Linked DNA regions of Rhinolophus ferrumequinum. The protein of the gene in region 2 interacts with the protein of the main gene of each other region in a pairwise test. Links are inferred from orthologs where the notes say so. Each region holds a gene or a part of one and is shown on either strand. Other genes may lie near its edges.

Evidence for each region.
Region 1: the proteins of RABAC1 (region 2) and MIEF2 interact in binary tests that used the Homo sapiens proteins (3 or more experiments, as listed by UniProt). The two-hybrid records come from large-scale screens. The link is inferred for Rhinolophus ferrumequinum from reciprocal best matches to the Homo sapiens genes RABAC1 and MIEF2.
Region 3: the proteins of RABAC1 (region 2) and RAB1A interact in a two-hybrid assay, tested with the Homo sapiens proteins (2 studies listed by BioGRID and IntAct). The link is inferred for Rhinolophus ferrumequinum from reciprocal best matches to the Homo sapiens genes RABAC1 and RAB1A.

Annotation. Positions count from the first base shown.
Region 1 is NC_046304.1:608,669-615,993, forward strand, and holds the start of MIEF2 (mitochondrial dynamics protein MID49), read right to left. Parts: upstream 3,036-7,325; 5' UTR 2,919-3,035; coding exon 2,875-2,918; intron 2,169-2,874; exon of another isoform or gene 2,043-2,168; intron 159-2,042; coding exon 2-158; intron 1-1. Other genes in the region: FLII (protein flightless-1 homolog), read left to right, coding at 3,467-3,529, 5,271-5,381, 5,620-5,691, 6,891-6,971, 7,259-7,325. UniProt on the Homo sapiens protein: Mitochondrial outer membrane protein involved in the regulation of mitochondrial organization.
Region 2 is NC_046298.1:39,928,406-39,935,872, reverse strand, and holds RABAC1 (prenylated Rab acceptor protein 1), read left to right. Parts: upstream 1-4,425; 5' UTR 4,426-4,561; coding exon 4,562-4,617; intron 4,618-4,937; coding exon 4,938-5,150; intron 5,151-5,456; coding exon 5,457-5,554; intron 5,555-6,548; coding exon 6,549-6,650; intron 6,651-6,733; coding exon 6,734-6,822; 3' UTR 6,823-6,975; downstream 6,976-7,467. UniProt on the Homo sapiens protein: General Rab protein regulator required for vesicle formation from the Golgi complex. May control vesicle docking and fusion by mediating the action of Rab GTPases to the SNARE complexes.
Region 3 is NC_046296.1:24,938,313-24,946,327, forward strand, and holds the start of RAB1A (ras-related protein Rab-1A), read left to right. Parts: upstream 1-4,980; 5' UTR 4,981-5,361; coding exon 5,362-5,384; intron 5,385-8,015. UniProt on the Homo sapiens protein: The small GTPases Rab are key regulators of intracellular membrane trafficking, from the formation of transport vesicles to their fusion with membranes.

The DNA.
Region 1 (7,325 bases), on a different chromosome or scaffold from region 2:
CCCGCTTCACAGCCAGGGTGGCAATACCCAGCACGGCAGCCCCGCCCACGCCCAGCACCAGGCGGGCATTGGCCAGGAGGAAGTCCACAGCATTGCCCAGCACGTCGTCGTCATGCCGCTTCCCCCGCTTCTGGAAGAACAGTACCATGTCTGTCTGCCTGTAAGAGAGCCAGGGTGCAGGGACCACTGAGTGTGGGGGCAGCCAGGCTGGCAGTGCGGCAGGTGTGGGTAGGCACTCTGGCTGCCATCACGCTGGGGTCTCTGAGTCAAGCCCACAAGGTGGATTCCCGAGTTTCAGAAGAAAGGGGCCACTCAAGGGGTTTCTTGTGAGGAGATGGGGAACTGCCTGAGCCCCCTTCCCCAAACCTGTCAACAACCCACCCACCCCCTGGACAGGGGGGCTCACACAGAAAGGCCCTGGATAGGTCAGAGAAGGGGGCCCATCTCCCTGACCCTCCCACCCAGGACTCCTGATGTCACCAAAGACTCATGAGGAAGGTCTTACCATCACCCCAATTTTACAGAGAAACGGGCTGCTGAACCATACGTAAGTAGTGGGTTCTTGGATCCACGACCGCCAAGCCTCCAGACTCTTGCCCACCCCCCGAGTCCCATCAGACCCCGTCTGCGGTCAGGTCCTAGAGGCTGCCTCACCCTGCTTCCTCACCCCTGGCACAGCAGGAGGAAACAAGGCCCAGAGAAACCACAACGTGGGGTCCCAGACAGCCTGCCCTGGAGCGCGTCTCAGACCTCAGTGAGGCCAGTCACCCCCAAATCTTGACAAGGTAGCCGCCAGAGGCAGAGCTATCCAGTGAGATGGCCCAGGCTGTGGGGGGAGGAGCGCGCACGAGCTGCCTGTCAATGGACATGTGCTGGTCAAAGCCAAAGGCCCCGCTGCGGGGACAGAGGGCAAAGTAAACACGAAGACTCCAAGCAGAGGACGGGCCCAGGGGCCAGGGACCTCTCTTGGCCTCTTGGGCTTGGGACAATGGGGAGGTGGGGAGCTGCCCTCAGCTGCACGGAGCCCAAAGAACAGAGAAGGTAAGCTGAGCGCCGGAAGCCTCAGCTATCTGCTCACCTGTAAAGTGGCACAGACAGGGTTAGGGAGAGGAGCCCAGAACAGTGGGGCTGGGTGGGTCAGGCACTCGGGAGGCAGAGGCAGAGACCTCTCCCACGGCCCCATCCACCACGCCCCAGCGGCAGGTTCCTCTAGGGGGACTCCTGCCGTCAGGCCCTGGGAGCTGAGAGTGTGTGATCAAGAGGGACGCTCAGGGGACCGACCAGTCAGACACCAGGCAGCACTGGCTCACTGAGGACACCTGAGCAGATGACCCTGAGCTCGGAGCCGGCTAGGGCACCAAGGACTTCCACCCTCCCTGCCTGGGGCTGTGGGCACTTAGGGCTGTTGCCAGGTTACGAGATGCCAGGACAACACCCGCCCCGCCCCCCCATTCGCCCAGACTAAAAATAAAAACCGGCTCCGGGGCCTGGGTTGGTGAAAGGCTGGCAGGGTGCCCACTACAGCACAGCAGTCAGTTCTCTCACAGGTGACCGGTATGGCCACCTGCCTCCAGAGGGACGGGGAAGCCACTTTGCAAACAGTAAAGTGCTTTCAATACCCCACACCTGTCTAAGCTAGGACTCAGCCCAAACCCTGGCAGGGTCGCGCAGGCCCCAACACGCAGCCTGCCCACTCGAGGAAAGGGAGGAGGGCGCGGGGGTTAAAAATAACCTGACTGCGCAGCCTGGCGGGGTAGAGCCCTGGGATGCCGCTTGTCCTCCCCTCCTCCGCCAAACCCAGGACGGGGGCTGAGCGGGCCGCGGAGCAGCCCCTGAAGACCTGTCAAGGCCCGGCTCACAGGGGACCTCACCGAGGCCCTGAGAAACTAAGTGATGTACCCGAAACGGGATTCGAACTCCAGCCTGAGGGCCCAAAGCCATTCCCTCCTTCTCTGGCGGTGACCGCCGGCCGCAGCGGTGGCCCCGCCCCCGACTCTCCACGCCGGGGCTGGGTGACCCGGGCCGCCCCGCTCGGGCCGTACCTGCGTCGCTGCTTCAGCGCACCAACTGTCGGAGGTAGCGGGTCTTCTTGGGCCCCGGACCCCGACCCGCCCGGGAATGGAATGGGAAGGACCTGGGAACCGAACGCTAAGGCTCCGGGGGCGGTCGCTGACCCCGGAACGCAAGCAGACGAGCAGGTCCTAGCCCCAATCGGAGTGCTCAAGGCCCGCTCCCTCGTTCCAAAATACTATGCGGTTCAGCCAATGGTGACCAGGCCACGCCCCCTAACCGCGTTCCGCGCTCTGCGGAGGTGGGACTTTCTGACGCATCCCGGATTTAAAGGCGCAGAGTTGTGTTCCGAGCCTCCCGCCCAGCGGTGTGGTGGCACAGCCGGGGGTTGCGGAATGAGCTGGCTGGCCTTCCGGGCCCCTTGTGACGTGTGTGTGATTGTAATATGAGCTTCTGGTTTGGAGAAAATTATCAGCGCCCCCGTTCCTTCTAGGGGCAGGGCAGACAGTCGGCACTTGGCCCAGAGGCGCGCAGGTCTGACCCTTTAGGTCACTTCTGCGAGAGTGCCTTGGTGGCCTCGTTATTATCTGTTGGCCTGCGGGGCACACAGCGTGACCCAGAACTACCCCTGCCACCAGCTCCGTGTGACCTTGTGCCGGCCACTTCTCCACCCGAGCCTCAGTTTTCTCTCCCGTGAAATGGAAACGCCAGGCCCCCTCCACCCTTGCGAAGGATGGTTGTGCATATGACCTGTGGTTCATTTGTTTATTGGGGAGCGACTATGTGCGGGTCAAGGGGAGCGAGCAAGCAAATGAATGGACGTGAGGGGCTGCTGACTCTAAGCAGAAATAACGCGCCACTTACCGAGTGCTTTCTGTATGCCGTGAGCTGCAGCTGCGTTTGTTCATTTGTTTCTGGCGACAACCTTAGGAAGCACTTCACAGATGAGGAGAAACAGGCCAGGAGGAGGTCTGGGCTTGCCCACAGCTCCGGGACGCTAGGGCCTCTGCGTCCCACTACCGCTGGTAGCCACACAGGGCCCAGGGGGTGAACAGAGACTCCCGGGCCTTCTGCGCCCCCCGACCTGGGTCCAGAACCTCCCCGGCCACAGCCAACTTCAGTTGCGGCTGCAGTGCAGCGGACAGCGCCCGTGACACAGCCCCGGCCCTGGGGCTCACGGACTTAGCCTGGAGGTTATGAAGCCACCTGCGGGGAGCACCGGGACGCCCGGACTCCTCGAGGTCCCTCCAGTACTCGGACAGACAGGGAAACTGAGGCCCGGGGAGGCCTAAAGACGCCAGGGGAGGGGGCCGGGGCTAGAGGGGTGGGGCCTGACTCCGCCTTCCCGCCGGCCCGGGCGGGGGCGAGTTAAAGGGGCGGGGTCGGCGCTGGCCCAGCCCGCGGCTCTCCCAGCCGCCCCCAGCGTCTGGCCCGGCCCGGCAGCAAGAGCAGCGCCATGGAGGCCACTGGAGTGCTGCCGTTCGTGCGCGGTGTGGACCTCAGCGGCAACGACTTCAAGGTGAGGCGACCCGGCGGCGGGCCGGGCCCCGCTCTAGGCCGTCTCTTCCGCTCCAGCCCGCACCGGTCTCTGCTTCCTGTCCCGTCCGCCCCCGGGCCCAGTACCGCTCGGGACTGCGGGCGGGGCCGGGTGGGGCTCTCCCGGGGCTCGGGTTCCCCGCCCGGAACGGATCCCCAAGATCTCCTTTCGGTGCCCTTACGGGAAGACCGAGGCCGGGTCGGGCCGGCGTGGACGCTTGGGTTCGGAGTCACGCTAGGGATGGGCTGAGAGCCCCCACCCCGTGTCATCGTCCTGGCATCTGGGCCCCGCCGGGGCCGGAGAGTGGAGCGGGGTCGTTGAGCTCTGCTCCCACCTCCCCAGCCCCCCTTCCCCGTCCCGCTGAGGTCACACGCCCAAGCCAGGCCCTGACTCACTGTCGCGCTGCAGGTTGTTGGGCTGTCCCCGGGCGGGTCTGGAACTCTTCACGGCCACTGCTTTGTCCCTGCCACCGCCATACCCGTCCTGTGTGGTCTTGGGCAAATCACTTCCTGTCTCACAGCCTCGGTCTTCTCATCCAGTAAAGGGGCTTAAAAGTAGTCCTCTTGGAAGCATGGATTAGTTGGTGTGGAGAGTGTGTCAGACATTTGTGCGAGGCCCTGGGTAGCCGTTGTTTGAGCAGCTTATGGACTGACAAGACCAGGGCCACAAGGAGCCTGAGCCCAGCCTTCCAGCCAGTTAGTGGGCGAGGTGGCTCTAGAGGCAAGGATGAGGTGAGCAGTGCCGGTGACCAGAGGAGTCAGGGCAAGAGTGGAGGTGAGAGCTGCCTGGAGTAGTACCAAGAGGGGCAGCCCCTGCTGCAGGGTGGGTGAGTGGGCAGACTCAGGCCCGAGTCAGTTTAGCGTAAGGGAGCCCAGGCTTCGGCTGGGGTCGTGGGGCCAGGACTGAGGGGAGGCTGGTTCTTCCTGCACTTACCCACATGTGCACACACCTTTGACCCCATGCACCGGTGGCCACACCACTTTCAATGCCTCCATTCGCACTAATCTCACCTGGGGTCTCCTTGTGTCCTCTTCAGACGCGGAGTCTGAGTCACTGGCGGGGAACGTGGCTATAGGGGGAAGGGGACACAGCCAAGGGCACTAAAGGCACATGCTATCCCAGGCTCCCTGCCACAAGGGCTGGGGGTACTGGGGTGGGCATTTGAATGTGGGGAATGAATGGGTAAACAAATGAACAAGGCAGTGCCTGTGCAGGGTGGGGAGCTGGGGCCTTGCACCGGGGGTTGGGCCTTGCCATAAACGGCTTGTATGCTGATGGCAGGGTGGGGGCACAGGTGGGACCTTGGCACAGCCTCAGGGGGTACCCTCACTTCTGGTGGCCCAGGCAGAGCCTGGAATGCTGGGCAAAGGCATGTGAGCCACACAGCTGGACACTGGAGGTGTTACCTGGAACAAGCCAGTTTCATCCCGACCCTCCTGGGACTCAGAATCCAGCAAGAGAGACAGATCTTAGGCCAACAGCCATGCTGATAACTACTTGGTCCTCACAACACTTTTGTCCTCAGAGGGCTTTTATTAGCCCTATTTTATGGATGAGGAAATGGAGGCACAGAGTGGCAAAATGATTTGTCCAGGGTCACACAGCTGGTGAGAGTTGGCTCTGTTGCTCCCCAAAGGCTTCCATGGGCAGTTGGGGACGATAGAGGGTGGTAGAGCAGGGACGTTCCTGTCCCAGACCAGCCTCACCATGGCATACCCCCCAGGGAGGCTACTTCCCTGAGAATGTCAAGGCCATGACCAGTCTGCGATGGCTGAAGCTGAACCGCACTGGCCTCTGCTACCTGCCAGAGGAATTGGCTGCTCTGCAGAAACTGGTAAGGGGCTTTCAGCAGGCAGGGTGGGTCCCTGTGGGTGGGGCTGGGCCAGGTGGGCGGAGCCTGTGCAGAAAGCCGCGGAGGAAGATGCTGATAACCACGAGTAGAGCTGGCAGAGAGGGAGGGAGGCTGCACGGGTGGACTGCGCCATGTGTGGCTGAGGGCCACCCCGGATGGTGCAAGACTGTGGTGGCAGATGGGGCCTCCGCTGAGCCTCTGCTCCCTTGTCCTGGCCCAGGAGCACTTGTCTGTGAGCCACAACCACCTGACCACGCTTCATGGGGAGCTGTCCAGTCTGCCATCGCTTCGGGTGAGTGCTGCTGGAGGCCACCATGCTTGGAGGTGGGGATTCGAGTCCAGCCAGAGGTGTGAGGACAGAGCCAGACCCAAGCTGGACTAGCACCTCTGCCTATCCCTGTGTCAGGCCCAGGGGCCTGTCCCTAAAGGGGAGAGGATATAATGATGCCCTGTGTTAAGTAACCCATGGGGCAAAACGTAAAAAAATCCAAAATCCCACCCTTTTTGGACAACTACAATAACAACAACTAATAGTGGCTAAGCACTGCTCCGACTATTTCCACGTGGGTTTTTTCTTACAATCCTGACTTCTCCCAATTTCACAGATGAGGACACTTGGCCGCAGAGGCAGGTCACTTGCCGGAGGTCACACAGCCACACATTGGCAGAGCTGGTGTAGGATGGGGTTTAGCCGGGAGGGGAGGTAGTCAGGGTGCCTGCTCACCCTTCTGCTTTTCACAGAGCCTCTGACATCCCAGAACACCCGGCTCTCGGCCAGACCCTTCTGGCCTCAGCAAAGGTCGTCCTGTCCATGGCTGGAGCCCTGAGATGTTAAGGGCACAGCCTCTGGATTCAGGCTGCCTGAGTTCACACCAGCTCTGCCACTTCCTGGCTGCATGACCTCAGACAAGTCCCTTCTACTTTCTGGGGAGGGTTCAGTGGGGGACCGCTGTGAAGCAGCGTGGCACCACAGACGTTAGGGCCAAAGGAGAGGCAGCGGCTGCCCTGAACCCTGCTGTTATTTGCCATCCCGGCACCATTACCCAACCTGTCTTCTCTCCCCCTTGAACTTTCTAGAGGTCTGTAGCATGAGGAGGTTTCAGCTCTAAGAGGAGAGGAAACAGTCGTGCTCAGCCCATACTCTCATTTCCCTGTGGGCCAACCCTCTCTGTTCTAGAAGACCTGATTCAGAGCTACATCCCCATCTTGCCCTCTGGAATTGAGGAGAGATTGTTCAATCGGAAAAGGTTCCCTGAGGACCCTGTGCTGGGCTGTGGGGCACATTTGATCTGGGCTTTGAGGTGTGAACAGGAGCTCATAGGGAGGCTAGGAAGAGCTCACCAGGTGGAGGAACTATGTGTAAAGACTAGGATGGGAGAGCATTGAGGCCTGGCCTCCAGTGAGCTTCCTAAGGAGATGTCCCTCCCTGATCCCTCTGCTTCTCCTGGGGGCGGAAGCCAGGAATCACGCACTCACACAGTTTTTCCCCAGGCCATTGTGGCTCGAGCCAACTGCCTGAAGAATTCTGGAGTTCCCGATGACATCTTCAAGCTGGATGACCTCTCAGTCCTGGTCAGTGGTTACTCATGCACTATTATGGCCCCTGGGCCATTGTTATCCCATTTTATAGAAGGGGAAACTGAGGCTTAGAGTAGACAGTGCCTTGTCCAAGGTTGCTCATGGAGTCACATCGTTATCCTGGGCACCCTTCCTCCCAGGGTCCTGCTGTCTCCCTTTGGCCCTGAACCCCCTCATGTGCTCCCCTCTCTATGCCCTGGCTGATGCCCCAGCCTGGCAGAGGACTGGCAAGGTGGCACCAGCGCTGACACCTCTGACCTGGCTTCACCCCTCCTACCCAGGACTTGAGCTACAACCAGCTGACAGAGTGCCCGCGGGAGCTGGAGAATGCCAAGAACATGCTGGTGT
Region 2 (7,467 bases):
CTGTCCCCTCCCCGTCTCCTCCCCTGGCTAGCTTCTCTCCCCGCCCCCTGCCTCTGCCTTTCTCCTCTCTTTTCTGTGACTCTGTTCCTTTCCCTCTCCTCACCCCTACCTCCGAGTCCCCTCCCTGGGCTCTTTTTTACTCCCCATCGACCTCCCCCTACCCCGGCTGATGCCATCTCTGGTTCTGGACAATTATCAAATATATCAGTGGGGAGAGAGAAGCGGTGTGTGTGTTGTGCTTGCTTTCTGGGCCGGAGGTGTGGGTGGGGTGGTCTCCCTGTGCTGGTACATGGAGCTCGGGGATTTGCCCAACCAGGAATTTCGCCAGCACCAGCCTGGAAGTCTCGGGGTCATGAAATCATGGCGTTTTAGACCAAACCAAAGTTAGTTAAGAGTGAGAACAGCTTGAATTCACCAGGCGATAGGATCATGGGATCAGAAGAGAGGAGAGGAAGGGACTCAGACTCGTGATGCTCGCATATTGGAGGAGGAGAAGGAGCATGGGGGGGTGATGACAGTGCCGACCGTGATGATGGTGACAGTGGCGACTGAACCGTCCGTTCTGTGCCCTGCCCTCTTCTAAGCCCTCTGTGTGTATCAGCTCATGTAATCCTCACGGTTGGGAGGCACAGAGAGGGAAAGTGACTTGCTCAAATTCACACAGCTGAGAGGCGACAAATCTGGGATTTGTACCTGGCTGTCCAAGTTCTAAGTCACTGTGCAATTTTCTCTTTTTATTGAGATAAACTTTCATACCAGGAAGTGCACAAATCTCAAAGGCGTACCGTGTAACCACCACCCAGATCAATATAGAGCATTTCCATCCACCCAGAAGGTTCCCTTATGCCTCTTTCTAGTCAGCGCCACCCCCCCCAAAAGCCACAGCTGATCTGATGTGTGTCACCATCCTTTAGCTGTGCCTGTTCTTGGACTTTGTATAAATGAAAACTTACAGCATGTTGTCTCGTGTCTGACTTCTCGTTCTCAACATCGCGTTTGTGACAAACACCCATGTATGTAGCTGTCACATGTATGTAGCCCACTCATTTTCATTGCTGTGTGTGGCTATAACATAATTTCTTCATCCATTCTCCCGTTGATAGACATTTCACTTGTTTGCACTTTGGGGGCTATTACAATTGGTGCTGCTCGGAATAGGAACATTCTAGTAATGACAGATGTATGCATCTCTGTTGGATACATGCCTAGGAGTGGGGTTGCTGGTTTTGGGATGGACTATGTTTAACAGAAATAGCTAGACCCTTTCCAAAGATGCTGTATCCTTCTGCATTCCCACACTGCATGAAAGAAAGTTCCAGTTGCTCCACTTCCTTATCAACATTCAATATTGTCAGACTTTTGAATTTTAGCCATTCTGGTTGGGTAGCTACACCACTTCCCTTGAGGCAGCCTTGTTAATACAGCCCAGAGGTGAGAGTCAGGAGGGGCTGGGGCTGGCATCCCGAGAGCTCACAAGTGTGGGTGAGTGTGTACACACGTCCACTGCACAAGACAATGGCTGGAGGAGGAGTGCCTGAACCTGAGGGGGCAGTTAGTCAAAGGGCAGGGGCATGTGTGCCAGGCACTACTCATGATGCCCAGGACACAGCCTGCCTGGTCCTGGTAGGGGTTATGTGAGCCTGGACCTCTTCAAGGGAGGCCTCAGAAACTATTCATAGGGTACAGGGTAAGAAATGCTCCCATAGACAAGTGGGCAATCAGTGGCCCAGAGAAGGCAGGGACTTCCTTGAGGTCACACAGCAAGGATATAACCCAGGTTTCTGGTTGTCTATGCTAGGGTCTTCTTCTCCTCCCAGCTCTTCTTCCTCTGGTGATCCAAGAGATAGGAAGGAGGCCTCAGGCTGGAGGGACTACAGGGCCGGGGCCCATCTCTCATAGTTTTCTCCGGTACCCCCTTACCTCCCATCTTCCCCCTGGTTCAGGCCCACCTGTCACAGGTCCCCTCTCTCACGGACCCCATCTCCCACCAGCCTCTTGTCTGAGGGATCCTCCCATATCTCACAATATCTCTACCTTAGGGCCCCTTCTTCCACAATCCCTGTTTCAAGGGCTTCTCTCCCACATTGTCTGTGGGACAAGGCCCCAACTCTCCAAATCCCCTGATTTAAAGTTCCCTCCATACTCCACTCAGGGGGCCCCTCCCACAATGTCCTTGCCTCTGGACCCCACCATCCATGGCCCATGCTGTTCGACACCTCCAGACCTTTGCCCATTATGTCCTCTGCTCAGAGCAAGTACTGGTGGGGTATGGAGTACAACCATTTTCACTGAGTTCCTATAAGGAAATCCAATAGCTCTCATAACAAAAATCAAACCCAACTTTCCCAAGGTTGGCCATGGGAGGAAGCAGCTGGACCTGTGCCTTCAACTCTCTGCTCCCCAAGATTCATCTTCTTCTTGGGGGCTCTTTCACTGGTGACCTCTGAACTCAGGTGCTGCTCCCCCATTAATGCTCTGAGCTAAGTGTGCACTCGCCATCCGCCATTTATTTCCTGAAGCCAAGCTGGACCCAAGTGGGAAACCTGAACAAGACTATTAAAAGTCTGTGTCTGACAAACGGGAAATAAACAGTAATGAGCCAACTGATCTTCAAAGTGTAGTTCATTCAGCTTCAGCTTGGGACTTCCCAAGGGTCCTCCCTGCTTATTGCTCCACCAGCCCTTTTAGCAGGGGCCACCTACCCCACCTCCTGGGAATGTCGCAGGCCTCAAAGCCCAAATCTAAAAGGGATGTGAACCTTGGAAGACAAAAACTGGGGTTAAGGGTTGCCTGGATATCCCATGTGGGACTTCTTCTTCAGCCCAACCCAGCCTTGGAAAATTAGGCCCTCGGTCCATGAAAGGGAGCACAGGCTTCCCAACACTGCCACACACATTCTTGAGGATTTTCTGTGCACCCCTTTAGAATGCCAGTCATTTTCCTGCAACTCGGTGGCAAGGGCAGGGGCAAAGACGGAAAAACCAGTGCTGTGGGAACTAGGGAAAAGAAAGGCCCCGGCCTGAGATGCCAGCCACTCTGGGGCATTCCCTGATACAGGCCAACAGCCCCTAATACATTACTGTTAAACTCGAGAAGGCTGAACTCTGAAATAGTCGTAACATTCATGATAATATAGTAGCAATAACACCCACTCCCATTTATCGAGCAGTTGCAAAGTATCGAGACTCTTTCAAGCACTTTACTGGGACCATGTAACTGAATCGTCCTAACACCTCGAGTGTGGTACCATCAGGATCCTCACTGTCTAGATGAAGACACTGAGGTTCAGGGAGGTGACAAGGTCAACACAGCCTGGATTTTCATTAAAAAATTCTCTTTTAAATGTCCTCAACCCTTTTCCTTTCCCAACTTCCCTTCTTCCCATCCAAGGGGAAGGGGAAGGGTGTCTCTAGGTTTCTAGTCCTAAACCATTTATCCCTGAGAGCCCAAGGATTGAGCAGGGAGCTTTGCAGCAACCATGGCCCTCTCGCTAGCCTGTCTCTTGAGGAAGGAATAGATTCCCACGAATTCTCTAGAGTCTCACTATTCAAAATATGGTCCATACACCAGCAGCAGCAGCATCACCTAGGTACTTATTAAAAATGCCTATCTAGGGGCCGGCCCGGTGGCTCAGGCAGTTAGAGCTCCATGCTCCTAACTCCGAAGGCTGCCGGTTGTATTCCCACATGGGCCAGTGGGCTCTCAACCACAAGGTTGCTGGTTCAACTCCTGGAGTCCCGCAAGGGATGGTGGGCTCCACCCCCTGCAACTAGGATTGAACACAGCACCTTTAGCTGAGCTGCCGCTGAGCTCCCGGATGGCTCAGTTGTTTGGAGCGCGTCCTCTCAACCACAAGGTTGCAGGTTCAACTTCTACAGGGGATGGTGGGCTGCGCCCCCTGCAACTAGCAATGGCAACTGGACCTGGAGCTGAGCTGCGTCCTCCACAAGTAAGACTGAAAGGACAACAACTTGACTTGGATAAAGTCCTGGAAGTACACACTGTTCCCCAATAAAGTCCTATTCCCCTTCTCCAATTAAAAAAAATGCCTATCCATAAATGGGCCCCACCCCATATCTGCTAAATCAGAATTTTTATCTAGTGTTTTATCAAGCTCTCCAGGTGTTTCTTATGCCCTCTAGAGCCCGAAGGACAGCTCTACACGGTCCCCATTGTACACTGCACAAGAGAGAATACCTAACACTTGCTTTCGCCTTTAGAGCTCCTATAAAGCCCACTCGTGACAACCCACCTTCCGCGACGCCACACGCCCGGCTACTGAAACTACAACTCCCACAATACCCAGAGGCGCTCATTGTCGCTTTATGTGACTACATTTCCCGAATGTGTTTTGCTAGCCAGACCACCATCATGGCGCCCACCCTTCCCGACAGCATCAGGACTACAACTCCCACAGTGCTCCGCGACAGAACTCCCGCCCCCCACGGCTTCCGAAAGGCGCCACGTCCGCTGAGCTGGTTGCGGCCCAGCTCTTGCGGGTCCCGAGGGGTCTGAGGGGCTCAGGGCTCGTTACAGCTGTTCTACCCCTCACGACGCAGACATGGCGGCGGAGAAGGACCAACAGAAGGATGCCGAGGCGGAAGGGCTGAGCGCCACGTAAGCAAGCCTACTCTAGCTCCCAGGACTGAGACCCGGCAGTTCTGGTCCTCTGCCCCCTTCTCCCTCGGGTCCCAGGAATCTGGATCCCCAGAGACTAGAGTCTAGGCCCCTGGCTTCCTCTTCGAGGACTCTGGAGCCTGGGCCCTCGGCCCCCTCTTCCCCTGGGATCCAGGAGCCTCAGACCCTTACCCCTCCCTCCCCCGTCCCCCCCATCCTGCACACCCGCAGAACCCCGGGGTTTGGGTTCCTGCATCCCCGCTCTTGCTGGAGGCCCCGCCTCGGTCTTGATCTACCGCTGACCTGGCCCCGCCCACCAGGACCCTGCTGCCGAAACTGATCCCATCCGGCGCGGGCCGTGAGTGGCTGGAGCGGCACCGCGCGACCATCCGGCCCTGGGGCACCTTCGTGGACCAGCGGCGCTTCTCGAGGCCCCGCAACCTGGGCGAGCTGTGTCAGCGCCTTGTACGCAACGTGGAGTACTACCAGAGCAACTATGTGTTCGTGTTCCTGGGCCTCATCCTGTACTGCGTGTGAGTGCCGCCTCTCCGCCCGCCCCCGCCCCAACCAAGTGGCACTGGTCGGCCCCGCCCTCAGCGGCCAGCCCCTTCTCTCCCTGGCCAGGCACCGTCCCCATGGGATAGCTCTGCCAGACTCCCCGAAGGGCCAGGTCTCCCCCATCAGCTTGAGCAGGACCCAGTGTGACCAAATGTCACCTGAACTTGCCTGGTCTCAAGGACATACATAGCCTGTCATCCGCCGGTGTAGAAGTTCAGGGTCTGTCCCCCTGGCAGTGCCAGCCGCAGCTGCCTGACGAATGCTTCCCTGCCCTCTTCCAGGATGACGTCCCCCATGCTGCTGGTGGCTCTGGCCGTCTTCTTTGGTGCCTGTTACATCCTCTATCTGCGCACGTTGCAGTCGAAGTTTGTGCTCTTTGGTGAGAAATCCCCTGCCCAGATGCATCCGTGATCCTTCAAATTCTGGTCTCTTGGAACAAAAGCCTTACATCCCACACCTAAGTCTTCCTAAACCCCCAAACTTGGTCCCTTAAAATCTCACATGCGCCAGATAATGCCACCCAGCCTCAGCCACCCAAATTGCTATTCCCCAAACCTAGAATGAGAGCCCCCGGGGCTCATTCTCCTCCTGGATGCTGTCCCTTAAATCTACTCCTCCCCTCTCTCCCTGACTTGTACAGAAAGCGTCAGCTGCAGGTATCCATAGTAGACAGCAGGTGGCGATCTTACACTGGCCCAGATCTGTCCCACGCCTCTGTCCTGCTTCCTGGGTGGGACCAGAAAGATCTTGGGACTTCTCACAGAGGGAAGCTGAGGCCTGTGGCCCATATGGTCCCAGACTGGCACCAAACATTCCCCACCTAGAGCAAGCTCAATGTTTGGAGTGAGGACAGGGAGGAATTGGGATCAGATAAGCAGGTAGTCCTGATACAGTCCTTCAACGGCCTGCAAGTTACGTACATGACAGAGATAGGCTGGTGGACAGGCCTGGTGGGCAAGCACAGGGCATGGAGGGAGCTCCTCAAGCACAGTCACTACCTGGCTTCAGCCGCTGCAGCCCCCTCGGGCCTGCAGACCCAATTTTACTCTGCCACAAGAAACCAGAAATCTATTGTTAGGTGAAATCATTCAGTTTCTCTGTTAGCCACTAATCACATTCTTGGGGAATATTGTACAGACTTAAAAAAAAACTTCCACAGGTCAGACTTGGCCTTGGGCCACCAGTCTGAGACTCCTGGCGGACCGTGGGGACATTGGAGAAATGGGTGGGGCCAGGACTTGGAGGACCTTGGCATGAGTTTGGATGATCCTAAAGCTCCCAAAAGCTTGTGACATCAGACTGTTGGGGGCATCCGGGATTACTCTGGGAGAGGACACACGTGTCAACAACTGCCCCACGCTGTCTGCCCCCAGGCCGAGAGGTGAGCCCTGCCCATCAGTATGCGCTTGCTGGGTCCGTCTCCTTTCCCTTCTTCTGGCTGGCTGGTGCAGGTTCTGCTGTCTTCTGGGTCCTGGGTGAGTACAGGGGCTGGGTAGCGGGGGTGGGTGGTGGGGGCCAGGTGAGGGAGCAAGGCCCTGAACTGTCCATTTTCTTGCAGGAGCCACCCTCGTGGTCATTGGCTCCCATGCCGCCTTCCACCAGATCGAGGCCGTGGACGGGGAAGAGCTGCAGATGGAGCCGGTGTGAGGTGTCCAGCCTCCCGAGCCAGCTGCCCCATCCCTGTTCACCCCTGTCCCGCACGGCTCTGCTGCTCCAACCAACAGCCCTCTTCCCATCACAAGTCCAGGGAGGGAACCAGCTTTGGAAATAAAGCTGTTGTAGTTGTCATTCAGCACATAAGCTCCCAGGATCTGTGGGTCTGTGCGGGGTAATGCTGGGGTACTGGAACAGAGGGGGACACACGGTGAGGGGAAGACAGTAACTAAATAACTAAAATAGGATGGCAATGGTGGTGAGTGCCAAGGAGGAGAAAAGAGTTGTGGAAGGAAACTGTGCCAGGGGTCCCCAGGGCCAGCCCCCTGTTTGATGATTTGCTAAGAGGACTCAGTATACAGTTGGACTCATAGCTGTGTTTTATTATGAAAGGATACAAAGCAGAATCAGCAAGAGAAAAAGGTACATCGGAAATCAAGAGGAAGTCAGGCATGAGCATTCCAGAGTCCTCTCCCAGCAGTCACATAGGACGTGCTTACGTCCTCCAGCAGTGAGTTGTGACAACGTGTGAAATGTCTGCCAGGGAAGCTCATTAGAGATTCAGTGCCCAGGCTTTTTATTGGGGGTTAGCCGCAAAAGTACCCTCCATCTACTTTGGCTCAAAACTCCAGATTCCCA
Region 3 (8,015 bases), on a different chromosome or scaffold from region 2:
ATCTTCTACAGGTTGGGGGTGACTGGGGTGGGGATAGGTAGAGCAGGAGTGGAAACATTGTCCAACTTCACAATTTCCCCTGAGACTTTTCACCGTGGCTGCCTACTATACGTCGATTAAATGTGGTGCTTTGGAGCCATTGAAATGAAGGGATGTTTCTCACACGATCATCGGACATCTTAAATCCGGAGTTCTGTCTGACAGTACAGTTGACAAAAACTCTTTCCTTGACCAAACTCTGGTCAGGCTCCTTTGAGCCTTCTTCTCAACTAGGTTTCAACCTGGGCCAATAAAAACTACAGACTCAGCACATTTTTGTCCACTCACCCACCCACACACTTGACATTTGAACCAACACCAGGATAGTTTCTAACATCTCAAGGCCACATCCTTAGGATAACCCTCGCCCCCTTAAAATGCTAGCATGAGCAAGTTCAGTGCTGCCTGGAGAATTTACTGTTTGTTCCAGCCCAAACCTGGTTATAGGCAGTTAGGCCCCAGAACCCCTTCTTAGAGCAGTTACTTTAGAAAGCTTGCAATTATAAATCTTTTCTTGCTTCCTGTCTCTGAAATGCAAACATTCCCTCACTCCCAGCCCAGTGCTCTCTCCTGCACCACTGCTTCCTATCGTAAGGATGCAAGAAGTTTGTCTTCCAGGTAAATGCCAATTAACAAACCCAGATGGCCTAGTCACATGGACCACCCCTCTTAACACCCATCCATGCCTTTTCCTTAGCACATCGCAGCTTTTAAAAAGTCTATTTTTTGTTTTAGTGACATTTACTTCACACAGGGCCCTTTTCCCTATTGCTATTACTGAATAAAGTCGATTCTTACTGCTTTAACTATGTCTGGCTTTCTCTATCTTTGACTGTGTGTGTGTATGTGTGTGTGTGTTGATTCAGAAGAGGGGACAATTTCTGGTATAGTCATGTGCCACATGATGACGTTTCTGTCAGCAATGGACCACATATACGATGGTGGTCCCATAAGATTATAATGGAGCTGAAAAATTCCTATCACCTAGTGATGCTGTAGCCATCGTAAAGTCGTAGTGTAACACATTTCTCACGTGCTTATGGTGATGCTGGTGTAAACAAATCTAATATACTGCCAGTTGTATAAAAGTGTAGCGCATACAATTTTGTACAGTGAAACTTGGTAATGATAATAAATGACTTGCTGGCTTCTGTATTTACTATACTGTACGTTTTATTGTTATTTTGGATTGTACTCTATCTACTTGTAAAAGAAAAAGTTTGTTATGACAGTATGCCATGTTATGCCGACAGCAGCCTCATACTCATACATCTCTGGTTTACCGTGTCTCTTGCTTGAGACATCATTTTCTCTTGTGCTTGATTTAATCGTGTTTTTTTGTATAGTAACATTTGTTCAGGCGTGTAGCCAGGGAACAATAGGCCATACCATCCAGGTTGGTGTAAGTACACACTGATGTTCACACGACGAGGAAATCGCCTGAAGATACACTTCGCAGAACATATCCCTTCACTAAGTGCTGTGTAACTGTGGTCTAGTACTTCCACACCAGGGCAGCTTTAACCCCAACCTCGAACTGCATAGTGCTACCCCTATCTTCCTCCTTCTTTACCCCACTCCAAGCCCCTCCTCCCCTGCTCTCTGACTTGGTAGGGGCCTTAGTCCCCTTGCTGGCAGGTAAACTGGCTACATCTGGGTCACTTTTAGCTCCTCCTTTCTCTCCACACCTTCAGATTCTGTGTTCTCTCTGGAATCTCCTCGCCTTTCCATTCTTGAGGCAATTGCCCTAGGTCAGCACACATCATCTCTTGCTAAATGACTCTAATTACCGTTTAACTAATCGCCCCATCTCCAGTCTCTACAGAACTCTGAAGTGCTCCTTTTAAAACACTGAGCTGATCACCTCACTTTCCTTCTCCGAAATTTTCTTGACTTTCTATTGCCTACTGAATAAAGCTGAAACTCCTTAGCAGGCATTTGGGGGCTCCCATGATCTCACCTTCACCTCAATGTCTCCCACTGCGTCTTCCATGGAACTAGTCTTTAAACACAGGTGTATCTTCCTACTTCTAGGGTTATGCTCACATTCTTTTGTCATTCTAGGATAAATGACTCCCTTGTCCCCATTTCTGCCAAAGGTCAAAATTTTAAACGTCTTCAGGGCCTCATTCAAATAGCGTTTCCTTCAGGAGAATATTCCCAATAGTTTGAGTTGGAATTGTTTTCCTCCTTTGTACTTCTACCTCATATCATTTTTTGAATGTCAGGTTCATAATTCAGGTATAATTTATATACAGTTAGATTCACCCTTTAATTATTTTAAATATTTTATTTATTTATTTATTTATTTATTTATTTATTTATTTATTTATTTATTTATTAAGGAGGGCGCAGCTCACAGTGGCCCCTGCGGGGAACGAACCAGCAACCTTGGTATTATTAGCACCACGCTCTAACCAACAGAGCTACCAGCTGCCCCAGATTCACCCTTTTAGGTATATAGTTCTTTGAGTCCTGACAAGTATATACAATTGAGAAACTAACCATCACCACAGTGAAGATACAGATTACAGCTGATCCTTGAAAAACGCAGAGGTCAGGGGCGCTGACCTTCCGTGCAGTGGAAAATTCGTGTATAACTACTGTATTCCCATCAAACAAAAAAGTTCTCTTCTGGCTCTTTGTAGGTAATTCCCTCCTCCCACTCCTAGTTCCTGGCAATCACTGATCTGATTTCTGTCCCTATACACCTCATATTATTTTAACTTATTTTTGCATTTTCCCCTGTAGGCCTTGTTTGTGTGTACATCTTTCTCTCACTGGGCTGTAATCTTCTTGCAGAGAGCTGTAATTATTCACCTTTGTATTCCTCATGGTTCCAAGCACAAGTTCCAAACACATTTATTACATGCCAGGTCATAAATATTTGATAAAAAGAAAAGGGGGGGAAAAAAAGGAAAAAGAAAGAAGAAAAAAAGGAAGAAAAGAATGACCCAAAGAACAAATGGACAAACAGCCCTAGGAGAGTTCAACTAATAGGGCTCTTGCTAGTTTAATGAATCATTCTGAGTTACTAATCTGAACTATAAAAGTAGCTGCTTTTAAACACCTACACAAAATACACTGTCTGAATCAGAAAAACTGAGACTTTAAGTTGGCAAGGACATCTTAATGTAAATGACATGTAAGTTGCAGTAGGATGTAGGAAACAACTAGCCACCACTCCAAAGCTAAGCTGCATCTGATCTCCTTGCATATTACAACACTATAAGATATGAGGCATTCTGTCCTTGGTATACAGCAAGTACACTTAAAAGTTTCAGGAAAGTTAAGGGAAGAAGAAAGGTAATTAACATTTACCAGGTGCCCCCAGTCATTGTACTATATTGTATTTTTCTTACAACTACTCTCTCACTTAGGTTAGAAATTATTAGGAGGTATTTTTCATTGAGAAAGGAAATAGACAATTCAAGGAAATTTAGGGGTGTACCTCCAAGGAGAGGGGAAGGTTAAAAATTGTATTTTTGGCTCAGGATGAGTTCTTCAGAGATTTTCTGAGTTGTCCTTCCGTGAAATTACAATAAGCAGGTAAGGACAAGAGTTTCGGGTAATAAACACTTTGATGTTGATTCTTTCAGGATACTTCTGGTATGGTGACCATATTCAATTCAGGAGCCAATAATGAGGTGAAAGAATTCTAGTGTACTGTTTGATGAGGTTGTCAACTGAGGCACGTGGTGGAATTTAGGAGATAAGGAGTGTAGTTACTAGAAAATGGGTAGTAATAAGAACTGCCTTCTTTCCATCACTTGGTGTCATGGAAATTTAGTGATTTTGCAATCACTCTTGGGGGATACTTTTCCTGGTTCTTAGACAAGTTGGAAGATAAACTTTGAACAATGTATTATACTATGCCCTTTGTAATTAAATAACCCAAGATAATGTGTTAAAGTTTAGTGGAGATTGAAATTCCTGAGTTGATTAAAGAGAGTTGTTAAGAATAACTCTCATGTAAAAAAAAAAAGTGTTACTATTACTCCGTTTCTAGGTATTATATAGTGATGAACTGCAGGTTTATATAGCTTATTACTTTCCAATCTTGCAGAACAGCTCAGCATTCAACAACTAAAAATAACTACAATTCAACTTGAAGGCTGAGACCAGGGAACACCTTGAATGTTTGGTTGACTCTGGGCTGTGACCCGTTCACAGAATGTGGAGCCACTAAAAGTTGTGCGGTAGTGATGGAAGTGCAATTCCAGGAAGATAAATCTGGCTATGTGTGCAAATGGCCTGAAACAGAGAAGAGATAAAGGCAGTTAGTCCACTCCGAGGCTACTGCAGTATCTAAGCTGCGGAGATCAGAGAAAGGCTGAAAGGGAATGGTAAGAAATCAAAAAAGAAAATGGTAGTGCCTGCGGCCAGCACTGGAAGATGACCGGACTCAGTGGGGTTAGCTGAGTGAAGAAGAAAACTGAAAGAACGGTTTTGTGTTTTCGAGATCCGAAGTTTTCAGCAGGGACTCCCTGACTCCTCTTCCGTCCTTAGAGCGGACGTCCTGGGATCAGCCGAAAAGCTCAAGCCTCAAGCTGGTCAGGCCAGCAAAAGGCGCACGGGAGGCAGGACCACCCCGGAGTGTCCTCCAGCACCCCTTCCTTCCCCGCCTCCATATTCCGGCGTTTCTTCGGGTTCCGACCTCTCTCTCCTCGCCCATCCGAGTCCCCTGATCTCCCCAACCCCCATCCTCCATCTGCAGCCAGCACCGCCTCCAGCCCCTTTCCTCCCCCTCCCCCTTGGGGTGCTGACTCGCCCGGCTGCCACGTCTCACTGATGACATCACCAGGGCCGCTCGGCCTTAGCCAATCCGCTAGGGGGAGTCCGAGCGAAGTCCTAGCCAGCGAGTCAGCGGGAGGGGAACAGGGAGGGGCGGAGTAGGGCGGTGAGAGAGTGGGGAATGGGGAGGGCGACAACCCCTCAAGTACGCATGCACCAGAGGCGCGGGGCTTGGCGGGAAGTTGAGTCCTGGCCTCCGCTCCGCACCGTCAGTTCCCAGCGCTTACATGCGCTCTAGCAACTCTCTTTCCCGGCATGCCACGCGGTGCGTCCGCCCTCTGGGCTGTGTAAAGGCCCCTCGGTCTAAGGCTTCCCTATTTCCTGGTTCGTCGGCGGCCATTTTGGGTGGAAGCGATAGCTGAGTGGCGGCGGCTGCTGATTGTGTTCTAAGGGGACGGAATAGGGGAAGACGTTTGCTCTCCCGGAACAGCCTATCATTCCTCTCCTTCGATTACCCGTGGCGCGGAGAGTCAGGGCGGCGGCTGCAGCAGCAAGGGCGGCGGTGGCGGCGGCGGCAGCTGCAGTGACATGTCCAGCATGAATCCTGAATAGTAAGTGCAGGAGAACACCGGTCGGCTGGGTCCGTGGGCCAGCTTGGGAAAGCTTAAAGGGGGCGAGGAGGGCAGGGATGGGCCTCGGCCGGGGTGAGGTGAAGGTGATGGGGCAGGAGAGGCAGGCGGACGGGAGTCGGGCCCCATTATCTGACGAAGGAGGGGCGGCCTCGGGGAGGGGTCCGGCCGGAGGGATGAGCCAGCCGGGCCTGGACCAGGTCCGGGTGGAGGGCCTGAGGGCCGGGCTGATGCGGAGGCACAGTCTGCTGCGGGGGGTGGGGCGGTGGGAACGGGTAGCTTCTCCTGGAGGCAGTGACTTTTGAAGGAGGACTTGTTTTTAAGGGGAGACGATGGGGGGAGAGCTCTCCTAGAGGGCACTGTCAGACCCTGCGCCGGCCCCTACTCTGCGGAGCTGTCAGAATCGTCTGGGTGGAAACCAGCTTTACTTGTAAATCTTGAGCTTGTTGGCTCTCTCTCCTTCCACCCTCCCCGCCAGGTTGCAGGTAATATGGATGCTTTTCAGGACTGCGTGGGATTGAAGGGAAAGAGTAGATGGTGAGAAGTGATTTAAAATTTTTAGTTCTCTGTGTTAGTTATTTCCTGGAGTTCTTTTAAGAACTCGCCGGGCCCACTGCCTTCCTAAAAACCTGGGCATTTGGGAGAATTTTTTTTTTTTTAGAGGACACTAAAGTCATTTTGTTTTGTGTAGGTCAAGGAAAAACATGATTAAAAACGTAGGAACGTCTTTCTTGATATTACCAAATTAAAGAAAGCCTTTGCTGTCAGGTTGAAAGAGAAACGAATGGGCCCTATGATAGATCTGTAGGTTTTGTATTACCTACTTGAATGTTTGCAGATAGGGAATGAGGTTCCATGACGTGTCATGAAAAGTTAATGCATTTCTTTTTCTTGCTTACTCAAGAAGTCACCACAGCAGATGTGACACACCTGGCACTTTTCCTGGGAACTGGTGTTCACTTTCCTTGGGAAGACTTTGTTGGGCTCTCCTTAAGGGCCTAAAAAAAAAAATCCTCCAACAGTTTGCATATATAAATTAATGACTAATCAGAGGAGATTTAGTTGGTATTCCTCTTCCGTGTCAGAAGGCTTTGGAGGAGAGGGTGAAATTTTTTTAAAGCAAAAGTCAGGATTTATTCTAAAAGTTGAGTTTATTTGCTTGCTTTGGTCAATTACTGTTAAACATTTTCCCTAAAAGGGTCATCCATCAGTTTAGCTGACTGTCTCATGTGTGTGTCACATGGCTCTTGCAAAATGCATTCTGACTTCAAGTTTTGTAATACTGTGGTTTGATGCTGACATGTCCCCTTTTTGTATTAAACAGAAGCTATAGTTTTTGTTAAAATTTCATCAACTTTAAGTTGAGGATAGTGTTCTAATAGTGCCATTTGCTATGTTGGCAAATTAAAACTTTTTAATTTCTTTATGAAGGGCTCCAAGGACAAAATTGGTTTTGCTTAGTTGGACAGAGTTGAACTAGAAGTCCCTAATGGAGTAGTTTTCCTGGCAACAATAAAGTACATGAAATTGCCACTGTCTGAGGATTTGTAAACCACCTTTGTTAGGAAGTTTCTTATATTTGCTACATATATTTAGTACTGTAAATAGACCTTGAAAATTAGTTGAGCAGAACCGTGACATTATGTAGCCTCTGAAGTTGTTTCTCCTTTTGTAAAATAAGGTGATAGGAGTCATTATTCCTGTCAGGGTAGTTGTGAGGTTCAAGTGTGTGTGAAAGAATTTGGAAAACTGTAAGAACAGCCTAGGTGGTGTACATTCATTACATGTAAGATATTCTAGTAGTGCTAGGATTTAGGAATAATAATCCTTATCCTCCAGGAATTTATAATGGAATATGAAAAATAGATTGTGTGTGTGTTAAATACCAGTAGATACAGCAAGTTCCAGATGTGTGGCATGGTTTGGAGCAGTAAGATTTCAAAGGAGGGTAGTGGGTTGTGGTTGGCTAGCTGAGTTCAGGAAGGCTTTACAGAAAAACCTGTTAGGGAATTATTAGCAGTAGATTTGGAGAAGCAGAAGGGAATGAGGAACATTTTTCAAGGGGGAGGAAGGAAGAATGGTTAATAAGTGGCAAGTATTGTAATTCTTAAGTAAATAAATACAGTGCCAAATCATCCTTTCCTTTGAATACTCTAGATCAGGGGTGTCCAAACTGCGGCCCGCAGGCCAACTGTGGCCTGGGATCCATTTGTTAATTGGCCCGCAGCAAATACAAAAATATATTTAGTTTGCTTAAATAAACCAGGTGAGGCAATACGTACTTCACCTCGAGTGAGTGGCCCGGCTGTCTGTGTATTTTACCGCATTGGCCCTTGGTGAAAACAGTTGAAAAAAGTTTGCACACCCCTGCTCTAGATGAATGACCTCAACAGAATCAAACCCTGAAATCATGTTTACATTTTTTCTGTCATTGAATATGCCAGTACCTGGCCTACTATATATTTTATATTGTGTCTAGTAAAATAATATAAAAGTTCGGGAAAACTTTGGAAAAGTATTAGTGAAAATAACGAGGTTAGATAAAATTATGGATATTTTATTGGGGAAGGTCGCAAGAGCTACGAGCAAAAAGATTTTTAGCAATCTGACTTC